3 linked regions of the Callithrix jacchus genome follow. The protein of the gene in region 1 purifies or fractionates together with the protein of each later gene. This does not show direct contact. Links are inferred from orthologs where the notes say so. Each region holds a gene or a part of one and is shown on either strand. Other genes may lie near its edges.

Region 1 (3,653 bases):
GCAAATCAAAACCACAATGAGCTACCATCTCACGCCAGTCAGAATGGCGATTATTAAAAAGTCAAGAAACAACAGATGCAGGCAAGGCTGCATAGAGATAGGAACACTTTTACACTGTTGTTGGGAATGTAAATTAATTCAACCATGTGGAAGACAATGTGGTGATTCTTCAAAGACCTAGAACCAGAAATACCATTTGACCCAGTAATCCCATTACTGAGTATATAACCCCCAAGATAGAAATCATTCTACTATAAAGGTACATGCATGCATATGTTCACTGCAGCACTATTCATGATAGCAAAGACATGGAATCAACCCAAATGCCCATCAATGATAGACTGGATGAAGGAAATGTGGTACATCTACACCATGGAATACAATGCAGCCATAAAAAAGAGGTATCAGAGATCATGTCCTTTGCAGGGACATGGATGGAGCTGGAAGTCACTATCCTCAGCAAACTCAACACAAACAGAAAACCAAACACTGCATGTTATCACTCATAAGTGGGAGCTGAAGAACGAGAGCAGGTGCACACAGGGAGGGGAAAACACATATTGGGGCCTGTTGAGGGGAGCAGAGGGAGGGAGAACATCAGAAAAAATAACTAATGCATGCTGGGCTTAACACCTAGATGATGGGTTGATATGTGCAGCAAACCACCATAGCACACGTTTACCTATGTAACAAACCTGCACATCTTGCACATGTACCCTGGAACTTAAAATAATAAAAATAAATAAAGATTCACACATAAAAAATCAGTAGTCAGCACCCTAGGGTGCATGAGCCAAAGAGAATTTGTGGACTCAGACATTACACGTTCCCTTAATTACCACATGAGAACTACTACCATCTGATGTCAAATTCCTTTCCATAAGTTCATTAGTAATATATTCTCTAAAACAGAATCTATCTGAAACACATTCCAGTTCAAAAATCTTCATGATGCTGGCTGGGCACAGTGGCTTACACCTGTAATCTCAGCACTTTGGGAGGCCGAGACAGGCAGATCACATGAGGCCAGGGGTTGGAAACCAGCCTGGCCACATGGTGAAACCCCTCTCTACCAAAAATACAAAAACAAAAACAAACAGAAAACAAAAAAGAACTTCATGATGCTCTCTGAATGGAATGTAAAATACTTTGGTTTGACATTCAAATTTCTGCTTGCTTTAGCCTTTATCTTGGTTGCAAGCCTCATCTCTCACTGCTCTAGATATATCTTATTCCAATCAAATTGGTCACTTCCTATTTTATTATATCCTATGCCTTTTCTATCTCTAGACCTTTGCTAATGCCTTTCCCTCCACCTGGAGTGCCCTCTTCCATTTCCAGTGGTCTAAATAGACCAGTGGAATTTTATAATATATAAATTTTCCTAGCCTTCTTTCCTAAGAGGTGGGCAGATGAGTGAGTTCTCACTCTGTTAGTTCCCTGGAGAGCTGGTTGTTGAAAAAGGGCTTGGCACCACCTCCCTTTTCTTGCCATGAGACCTCTGTATTCATGGGCTCCTCTTTGGCTTAATGAGTGAGGATAGCCTGACGCCTTCAACAGATGTCTAATCTTCTAGCCAGCAGACTCATGCACCAAATAAACGTTTTCTTCTTTTTAATCTACCCAGTTTCAGTTATTCCTTTATAGCAACACAAGACAGACTAAAACAGAATGTGTCCAAATAATAATTCACTTGAGGATTTATAAATTATTTTAAATGTTAAAACAAAAATTGGAGACCTAGACTTACCTTTGAAGCACTTCTTTCTGAAAGTTTGTGATTCAGTGTTATACAATCGAACAAAGCCTTCTTCATTGGCAACTGCTAGGATATGTTCCATATTGGGAGCTAAATCAGAAATAAAGAATGAAATACATAGAGTAACACAAACATTTTTAAGTTTACTGAAAAACCACCAAAATTATCTTCAAATCATCTCTTATTTAGAGAAGGGCTAAATCGAGGGTAGTACTTAAAACAAGAGTGGCACTGGCCAATGGTAAACAATGGCATATGATGATGTAGGCCGCCAGCAGGCTGAGTCTATTAGTTTTATTTTTTATTACATTTTTATTAATTTTCACCACAATCATGACTACATAAGAGTCTATTAGATTTGTTTATTTTTGAGACAGTCTCACTCTGTCACCTAGGCTGGAATGCAATGGCATGATCTTGGCTCACTGCAACCTCCACCTCCCAGGTACAAGTGATTCTCTTGCCTTAGCCTCCCCAGCAGCTGGGACTACAGGCATGCACCATTATGCCTGGCTAATTTTTGTAAGCAGTCTGTTAGCTTGAAATTTCCTTTTCACAACTTTTTCTCTTTTTTCTCAAACTATTATGGGTGAAGACAAGTACTTCTATTTCTTTCTTTTTTTTTTTTGGAGATGAAGTTTTGCTCTGTCACCCAGGCTGGAGTGCAATGGCATAATCTTGGTTCACTGTATTCAAGCAATTCTCCTGACTCAGCCTCCCAGATTCAAGCAATTTTCCTGTCTCAGCCTCCTGAGTAGCTGGGATTATAGGTGTGCACCACCACACCCAGCTAATTTTTTGTAATTTTAGTAAAGACAGGGTTTCACGTTGATCAGGCTGGCCTTGAACTCCTGAACTCAAGTGCTCCAGCTGCCTTGGCCTCCCAAAGTACTGGGATTACAAGTGTAAGTCACTGTGCCTGGTCCCGCCTTGGCCTCCCAAAGTGCTGGGATTACAGGTGTGAGCCACTGTGCCTAGCGAAGTACTTCCATTTCTGTTCATATATTCCCCAATGAATCATGGAAAGATACATTCAACCAGATCAAAGGGTATGTATCTACTGGGTAAAACAATTTCATAATAGCTGAACCTTTGCAACCTTTTTCTTAATATCACTTAAAAAAAAATGGTGCTATAAGAGTCTATGCTTTAGAGGAAATATAGTTATGCTAATGATGCACAGAGATTAAGTTATTTTATAAATCAGAAGACAATGGTCTTTAAAAAAAACTCTAACATCCACCTAATTTACTTTTCTTTGAAAGGGAAATACTACAGTATATTTTCCCTGTAAGTGTGAAATAGATGATTTCTGTCCAAGCCTTGCCTAGAGAGTAATTCTCTTACCAGAAGAGAAGGTACATCCAAAAGGAGGAACTGGGACTCCTGTTTCTCCATAAGAAGTGTGTTCATCATTACCACTGCACTGATAACCAGCCAGAAGGGATTGTAGAGGGTATTGTGAAGACCATCCTAAAACAAGACAATTTCTTATAGAATTCCAATAGAGCATTACATTTCAGCATTTTTAACAAATGCAGAGGTAAATATTTGTTCTTAGGAAACTTTAGATATTAACACAGATCCACTTACTATTAATATCTATGGAAGAATCAGTTTCTGGTATTTTCTTAAAGAATCCTAAGGAAGAAATGAAAGAACACTTCCAACTTCTGGGGACATATAGCTTTGGGCTTACTATCTTAAATGTAGACTCTCACTAGTTCATTGAGATAAGAAGAAACAAGAGGCCTTTGCATATTAAGAAAGATCTTCTCCATTCTTGTAAGAGACCACCATGAAAGCATTCTATTAAAACCACTATTCCCTTCCATTAAATCCTTACTATGTTTGTGGAGTCACTAAATCAACAACATTACTATAAACTCTCAAG
Region 2 (3,653 bases), on another chromosome or scaffold:
GACAGGGACCCTGTCTCAAAAAACGAAACGAAAACACAATCCTTGGCTTTCCAGGTCAACTGAATAAACCTAAAGAATGGCAAAGTAGTTCTTTACTTTGGTGCTTTGGTACCTCCATATTCAGGGAGAATAATTCTTTATCTCTTACTTTCACATTAACTGGTTGAATCCACCTTTTCCTTGAAAGCGTGATCCAACAGCTACTACTGTTGCTTGCAATGCTTTACCTTAAGATTTTTCTGGAAGCATAATGCCTTCTTTAGTTCCAGCTTCAGCTGTACTCCTTTCAACCAATACTTGATCAAAGAGCGTAAGAAACTTCTAAGTGATGGTCCTACTATGACTCCTGCTGCTGTAGCTCATATTCTCCAAGCCCAGTTTATTTTATTCTAAATCCTATGGTTCTAACTACTATATATACTGCAGTATATGAAATGGCCTGCTTTTTTAGAAAAGTAAAAAAATTGTTCCTAAGTTCTATATATAGAGAAGCTGATTAAATATCCTTCCAAATATTTTGGGTTTTTATATTATCAGAAAAAATTCAGTGACCTCTTTTTTTTTTTCCCTCCCAGCATCTACTGCTTTAAGGTAATGCTATTCTGATTCCCTTTGGGAACCTCTCCTTCCCCGTTTTTAGTACTTGAGCTACTGAAGGAGTTTTCTACACTGTGGCCCAGCAGTAAAGCACTTGCCATGGCCAAAGCCATTCATCAGGCTTATTCAGTTGGCCTTAAAATGGGCATGTGATTAAGTAAAGCCAGTCAGACACAATGAAATTTTGCATGGGGGTGTGTGTCTGTGTGTATGTGTGTGTGTGTGTCCTAAAAATGGGCATGTGATTAAGTAAAGCCAGTCAGACACAATGAAGTTTTGACTGGGAGAGAGAGAGAGGGTGGGGGGGGGGGGGAGAGAGAGAGAGAGAGAGAGAGAGAGAGAGAGAGAGAGAGAGAGAGTGTGTGTGTGTGTGTGTGTGTGTGTGTGTGTGTGTGTATCTTGACCATCTCTTTCTTTGAACATGAAACTGAGAGGCCTGGAGGTCTAAAGCTAAAGCTGCTGTCTTGCTTTCACATGAAGCCTGAAACTAGCAGTAACTAAGATGAAATCAATGCTAAGAGAGAAAAAACACAAGATCTCATAATATTGTTTGAATGAAAACTTAGCTGTGCCTAAGTTAAGCCTTATTCCTCAACTTTGCAACTTACGCAGTTCTCTTTCTTAAGCTAATTTCATTAGGTGTCGTGTTACTTGCAACCAGACTCCAAGCTGAGACACCTGATACACAAAAATCAATATTTGTATATTTTTTATCCATAAATCTCCTTATGGCAGGAGCAGATCTCACCCTGATCTGGCCACTCTATTTGCTACTTAGACTTTGTCTCTATGGGTCATGACAAAAATCTTGAATTGGCCTAGCATCCTAATCCCACTCTGGTGGTGCAGAATCTCACCTCAGCCTTGGTGTCTTGGCCAAGTTAGGTACTGCCTTTCTGTGAAACAGTGTTTCAGATATTAAATGGCTAAGTAGCTTAGATAAAATTCAAATGCATTCCTTGCAAGTATAATACTTACAGTAAGCAAGCTAGAGGAACTCAATGTATTCACCCAGTATTTATTCCACAACAGCTCGAGCAATTTTCGATCCAAAGAGGATTTGAAATATGAGACCTCTAAGGCATAATATCTATGAAATAAAAGCACAAAATTTAGTAAGTGAAAAAAAATTCAACTACATCACATAAAAGTTATGGCCAAATTTAAGTGAATTATACTTTATTCTCAAATTATCCCTTATTCTCATGTTTTAGTTTTTATTCCAACAAGGTAATAGCTAACCATGGTTTCTTTACACTTCAAGGGTTGTGGATCCAAATCTTCTACTAAACATCCTTGTTTTATTCCTTTTATTTCTGTAGAGCCCAGAAATTCCCAAGATGTTATTAACCAGTCAAAACTTCTGAATGACAAGTTTATTCCTGTTGCTGAAAAATTGAAGCCAACAGCACATAAATTTAATGAGCTGCCTCTCTAGGGTAAATTATAATTTTTGTTAGCCACTTTAAAATAATAAAAATCTCATGTGGATTTGTTTCCCTTTCTAGTTCCCTATTTAGGACCTACTGCATTTTGGAAAATCAAATTTTTTAGGTAGGTCCTTAAGGCATCTAAAAAAATTGCTCCCACTTTCAAAGGTGCCTAATTTATCATCAGGGCATAGTAAGAAAAATCTAGAAGTTAAATGTCTGAAAATGCATTTTTTAAAAATTTAAACTATCTCAGTTGCTTCCGTGTAACAATGGATATAAAAAAGCATAAGAGACATCTTTACCTTGAGGAAGTCACCATTTATATGGGGGATGTGGTCTAAACCCACCAAAACATTAAATGTAATGATGTACATTGAATAACAATAAGTGATGCTATAGTGCTATATAAAATGAACCATCCACCAACTAAGGGTTAGAGATAATAAGTACTCTTCATGTAGAGGAGCTCAAGTGATCATCTGGAGCTAGAATTGCCTGAGAAGTCTCAGGGAAAAGGCAAGGTGTAGGGTAACCATTTATGAATCTATCGTATGGATATGTGAGAGCAAGGGGGACATTAGGCAGAGAGCATCAACACACAAAAAGGAAAGACATGTAAGGGATAATAAGGTAATGGGTTTAGCTGGACAATTTAGCAAGAGAAGAATTATGTGAGGGGAAGCTAGAAAGCTGGGGTCTAGGTGGCGGAGGATGTTACATAAAAGGTTAAGAATTTTTTTTTTTTGAGACAAAGTCTTGTTCTGTCACCCAGGCTACAGTGCAGTGGAATGATCTTGGCTCACTGCAACCTCTGCCTCCTGGGTTCAAGTAATTCTCCTGTCTCAGCCTCCCAAACAGCTAGGACAGGCGCCCACCACCACCATGCCCGGCTAATTTTTTTATTTTTAGTAGAGATGGGGTTTTACCGTATTGGTCAGACTGGTCTCAAACTCCTGACCTAAGGTGATCTGCCTGCCTTGGCCTCCCAAAGTGCTGGGATTACAGGTGTGAGCCACCACAGCCGGCCAAAAGGTAAGAAATTTAGACTTTATCCTTTGGATAACTGGGACTCATGGAAAGTGCTTGAGTAGAATGGAAGGTACTTTAGCAGATTAATAATACAGTCAAAGGGGTGTTTTATAGAAGCCTGGCTGTGGCAGTACCATCAGGACATGTTACAGGAGAGAAACTGGAGGCAGGGATTCCACAAAGAAAGCCACTGCAGCAGAGCAGATGAGAAGAGACAGAGGTTCAGACTCAGAGATTAGTGGTGCAAAAGATAAAGACACATAGGTACCCCTTGTAAAACAGAATGCTTTTCTTCAGCCAGAGTCTTGCTCTGTCACTTAGGCTGGAGTGCAGTGGCGCAATCTGGGTTCACTGCAGCGTCTACCTCCCAGGTTCAAGCGAATGTCCTGTGTAGCTCCTGAGTAGCTGGGATCACAGGCATCTGCCAACATGCCCAGCTAATTTTTTGTACTTTTAGCAGAGATGAGGTTTCACCATGTTATCCAGGCTGGTCTCGAACTCCTGACCTCAAGTGATGCACCCACCTCAGATCCAAAGTGCAAGAATGCTTACTGATTAAATTTTAGCAATGAAGAAATATAATGAATTAAGCAG
Region 3 (3,653 bases), on another chromosome or scaffold:
CTGTACCATCTTATTTAAATCTTACAGTCACCTTATAGAGAAGGGCAGAGCAGACAGAGCTCAGGAAGGCTGTGTGACTTGCACACCCTGGTTGTGGGGCTTGGCCGTGGCAGCCGCTCTCTCCGCTATTTACCCCGGACTTCCCTGGGGGCTCCTCTTCTGCTCCTGGTTGGATGGAAGCACAAGGTGGCCCCTAAGCTGCCCTGGCCTGGCTCAAGATCCTGGATTTCCTACAGGCTCCTTCAACTCCACGCATCTGAGTGACTGCATCTTTTCTCCTGCATCCTCTGTTTTCGTGCTGTATGCTGTCATAATCCTGTCCCTTTCCTTCACCCTGTCTGCCCCTTTCCCTACCAAGTCCTGTTCTGCACAGGGTACCATTTCCATGTCTCTTCCTCTGTCTTCTCTGCTGAGCCCCCCCGAGTCCTGTTCTGCACAGGGTACCATTTCCATCTCTCTTCCTCTGTCTTCCCTGCTGAGTTCCCCCCGAATCCTGTTCTGCACAGGGTACCATTTCCATCTCTCTTCCTCTGTCTTCTCTGCTGAGTCCCCCCGCATCCTGTTCTGCACACGGTACCATTTCCATCTCTCTTCCACTCTGTCTTCTCTGCTGAGTCCCCCCGAGTCCTGTTCTGCACATGGTACCATTTCCATCTCTCTTCCTCTGTCTTCTCTGCTGAGTCCCCCCGAGTCCTGTTCTGCACATTCTATCATTTTCATGTCTCTCCCTGGCTGTCCCCTCTGCCTCTGTTCTTGCCTCCCATCACAAGAATGGACCCTCTGTGCCTGACATGCAAGCTCACACAATCTCTAGCTTTTTATTTCCCTAACTACTCATCAACCTCGGGTTTACAGAAAAAAAACATCAGATGAAAAGAGAAAATTGTGTGACAGCACCAAAAATAAAATTAAAGCGATATAAAATGTGTAGCAGAAGGTTTGCAATCAAAATAGTCTAACATTCAGTAAGACTCCATTAACGTAAATAGACCATCTCAAAACTCAAAGATGCCAGGTATCTCAGCAAGATTTACTCCACTTAGACAATAAGCCATGACGAAGCACTGGGTAAAAAGTGTAATTTGTAAATGCCAAATCATGCCAAATAACATAAGTAAGATACGCTAGGTGCAAAAACACTCTTAGAAAGTACTGAATGAACTGACAAAGACACCCTTTATTTCAAGAACCAGCCAGGAGAACCTTCCAGCCGTGGTGAAGACACGAACGCTCGGTGCGTGAATGGTACTTACTGTGTGCCGTGGTCCAAGAAAGTGATTACTCGGTCTCCTTCCTCCTCTAAGCGTTTACTTACATGGTTAAGGTATTCTGGAACCTTCCAAACAAAACAAGCAGATCAGTAACAAAACAACTGCTGACGTTATTCAAGAAATCAACATTTTGTTTTCCTTAATTTTTTAAAAAATCAGAATATACATTCAAGCCAAATGTTAACACAGACTAATAGGGAGGGAGAGGTAGGGTGGAAGTGTGTGGGGGACAAGGAGCAGGCTCCTGAGACTAACATCCATCTTAGAACAAGCGCCCAGGCTGCACTTCTTTGTCGTCCCTGCTCGCCATCAAGTTTTGGGGTGTGCGCAGAGCCTCCTCCCATCCCCGAGGCCAGTGTGGAGGTGAGCAGCACCTGGTAGGAGGGTGAGGTGCTGAGCCCGCACAGCTGGGTCAGCAAAAGCAAGTCAGCAAGCTGGCTGCTCACGTGGGGACACCAAACATGGCTGCAGACCTCAAAGTACACCCACGTTTCCCAAGACATCACAGGAAAGGTCTGAGGCTCTGCCCTGGGTAGCTGCAGCCAGGTCCAGCGTCCGACATTAAACTTCCTCCCCAAAGCCAGGATAAAGGAACCCATGGCCAAGGTCCACTCTGGGCAGTAGCATGCACCATTTGGGTGGCAGCCCACAGGGCAGGCTCCTTTCTGACTCTGCTCTGCTATGTGGGAAAGTGGGCATGTTTCTGGGTTCCTATCACTATTACACGTTTTTTCACATGGCTTTTTTGGGAATTTTTTTTTCAGTGCTTCACACACATAAAAAATTTCATAATTTGTATTTATATTTCATTTTTAAAATGTTCTCATGTTGCTTAAATTTGAGTTATTTTACTTACTTCAGAAACAATCTTACTGGCTTTTTACTTGTCGGAGGAGTGCAATAGTTACTAAGTTAATGGAAACTAAATTCTTAGTATACTCAGAATGAAGCTCATTACTGGGTATTCTGGCAAGACTGCAGCTTTCAGATTTCAATGAAACGCCTGCGTGTGTGTGTAAAGGCGAACATTAGGGAAGTACTCCCGGGTGCTCGTCCACAGAAGCGAAACATCCCATCACCTCACCTCTCTTTCCTGCATCAACCTTTGGCCTTCTGCAGCATACAAGCAATTCGTTTCTTCCAAAAATTTCAGTTCAAATGAGTCTTTATACACCTAAGAAATGAGCAGAGTTACTAACCAATTTCAGTAAGGGAAACTATCTTTTCGAGTGCTAACACATCCTGGTTTCTGAGGGGCAGGCTGCCATGACCTGAACTTGGAGCTGTGGTCACCCAGCCAGCCCGGCTGCACTGTCCTTCCTCTGTCCTTCTCCTCCGGTGCCTTGGGGTCACGCTGCACTAAACAACTTCGCCCTTTGTGTTCTGTGTGCTGCTAATACTTTCCCCCAGCGTGTCACCTGGTTTTGTCTCTGATTTTGGTGTATTTTCCAGGAAAAACATGCATTTTATGTAGTCATATTGATCCATCTTCTCTTCTGTGGCACCTGGTGTGGTGTTAGCTTGAGAGTCATTCCCCTCCCACAAATTTTAAAAACTCCTATTTCCAACATGTTTTTGTGATTTCATTGTTAAACATCTTTGGTACAACCATTTATTCTGGAGCGAGGAGCTGGGCAGGTACCCGGGTATCTTCCAGTGCAGCGTGCTCACCTGCAGGTCGGACAGCATGCCCAGCAGGCTCCGCAGCAGGCTCCGGTCCACGGCCTCACCGCTCCTCTCACGCTCGATCAGCAGCAGGATTCCATCAATGGTTCTACTCTGAACCATTTTATCACTGATAATATGGGTTCTGAATAGTTCTAATCCCATATCCCTGTACAGACAGTAAGAAACAAGACGACTTAGTTTTGCTTTTTAGAAGTTATGGGTGAAACTCCAGCTATGCTATTCAACATTATCAAAAAAATGTGAAGTTGCTAATTCTCTACATCTAGATGCCAAGCATTCCTTTTTAAAAACGTCTGTTTTTTTGGCCAGACTAGTGTGCCATGTATTTCCTTCCTTAAACAGGACTGCTCCATGTTCCTGGGGGCAGTCAGGCACTAAGACACTGCTAGGTCATGCATGCCACTGACAATAAAATTAGTATGACACGATCTGCCATGGAAGCCCAGGGTTCTCATCACCTTCCTGGTGAGTGGCTGGAGACACTCAGGCACTCGAGTACCACGACCCTGCCTGCCCCACCTGCCCCGCCCTGGCTCCATCTGCAGCAGCCCTCAGCGTGCACCCTCTTCCCCGTGTCCTTATGAAGTACGTCCCAGCAGCTTCCCTTCCAGCCCTGGGAGCTCTCCTACCAAATGTTAGCTGCTTTCCCCTGAGAAGAGAAGCACGTGGATTTCAGAGTTCATCGCAGTCCTC

The links.
Region 2: the proteins of DTL (region 1) and COPS5 purify together in Homo sapiens (affinity purification with mass spectrometry; 6 studies listed by BioGRID and IntAct, with this or other methods). This does not show direct contact. The link is inferred for Callithrix jacchus from reciprocal best matches to the Homo sapiens genes DTL and COPS5.
Region 3: the proteins of DTL (region 1) and CUL4A purify together in Homo sapiens (affinity purification with western blotting; 15 studies listed by BioGRID and IntAct, with this or other methods). This does not show direct contact. The link is inferred for Callithrix jacchus from reciprocal best matches to the Homo sapiens genes DTL and CUL4A.

What each region holds. Positions count from the first base shown.
Region 1 is NC_133520.1:17,185,684-17,189,336, reverse strand, and holds part of DTL (denticleless protein homolog), read right to left. Parts: intron 3,401-3,653; coding exon 3,353-3,400; intron 3,233-3,352; coding exon 3,107-3,232; intron 1,850-3,106; coding exon 1,751-1,849; intron 1-1,750. UniProt on the Homo sapiens protein: Substrate-specific adapter of a DCX (DDB1-CUL4-X-box) E3 ubiquitin-protein ligase complex required for cell cycle control, DNA damage response and translesion DNA synthesis.
Region 2 is NC_133517.1:22,930,851-22,934,503, forward strand, and holds part of COPS5 (COP9 signalosome complex subunit 5), read right to left. Parts: intron 1,688-3,653; coding exon 1,576-1,687; intron 1-1,575. UniProt on the Homo sapiens protein: Probable protease subunit of the COP9 signalosome complex (CSN), a complex involved in various cellular and developmental processes.
Region 3 is NC_133502.1:28,688,437-28,692,089, reverse strand, and holds part of CUL4A (cullin-4A), read right to left. Parts: intron 3,106-3,653; coding exon 2,943-3,105; intron 2,446-2,942; coding exon 2,356-2,445; intron 1,337-2,355; coding exon 1,254-1,336; exon of another isoform or gene 32-1,253; intron 1-31. UniProt on the Homo sapiens protein: Core component of multiple cullin-RING-based E3 ubiquitin-protein ligase complexes which mediate the ubiquitination of target proteins. As a scaffold protein may contribute to catalysis through positioning of the substrate and the ubiquitin-conjugating enzyme.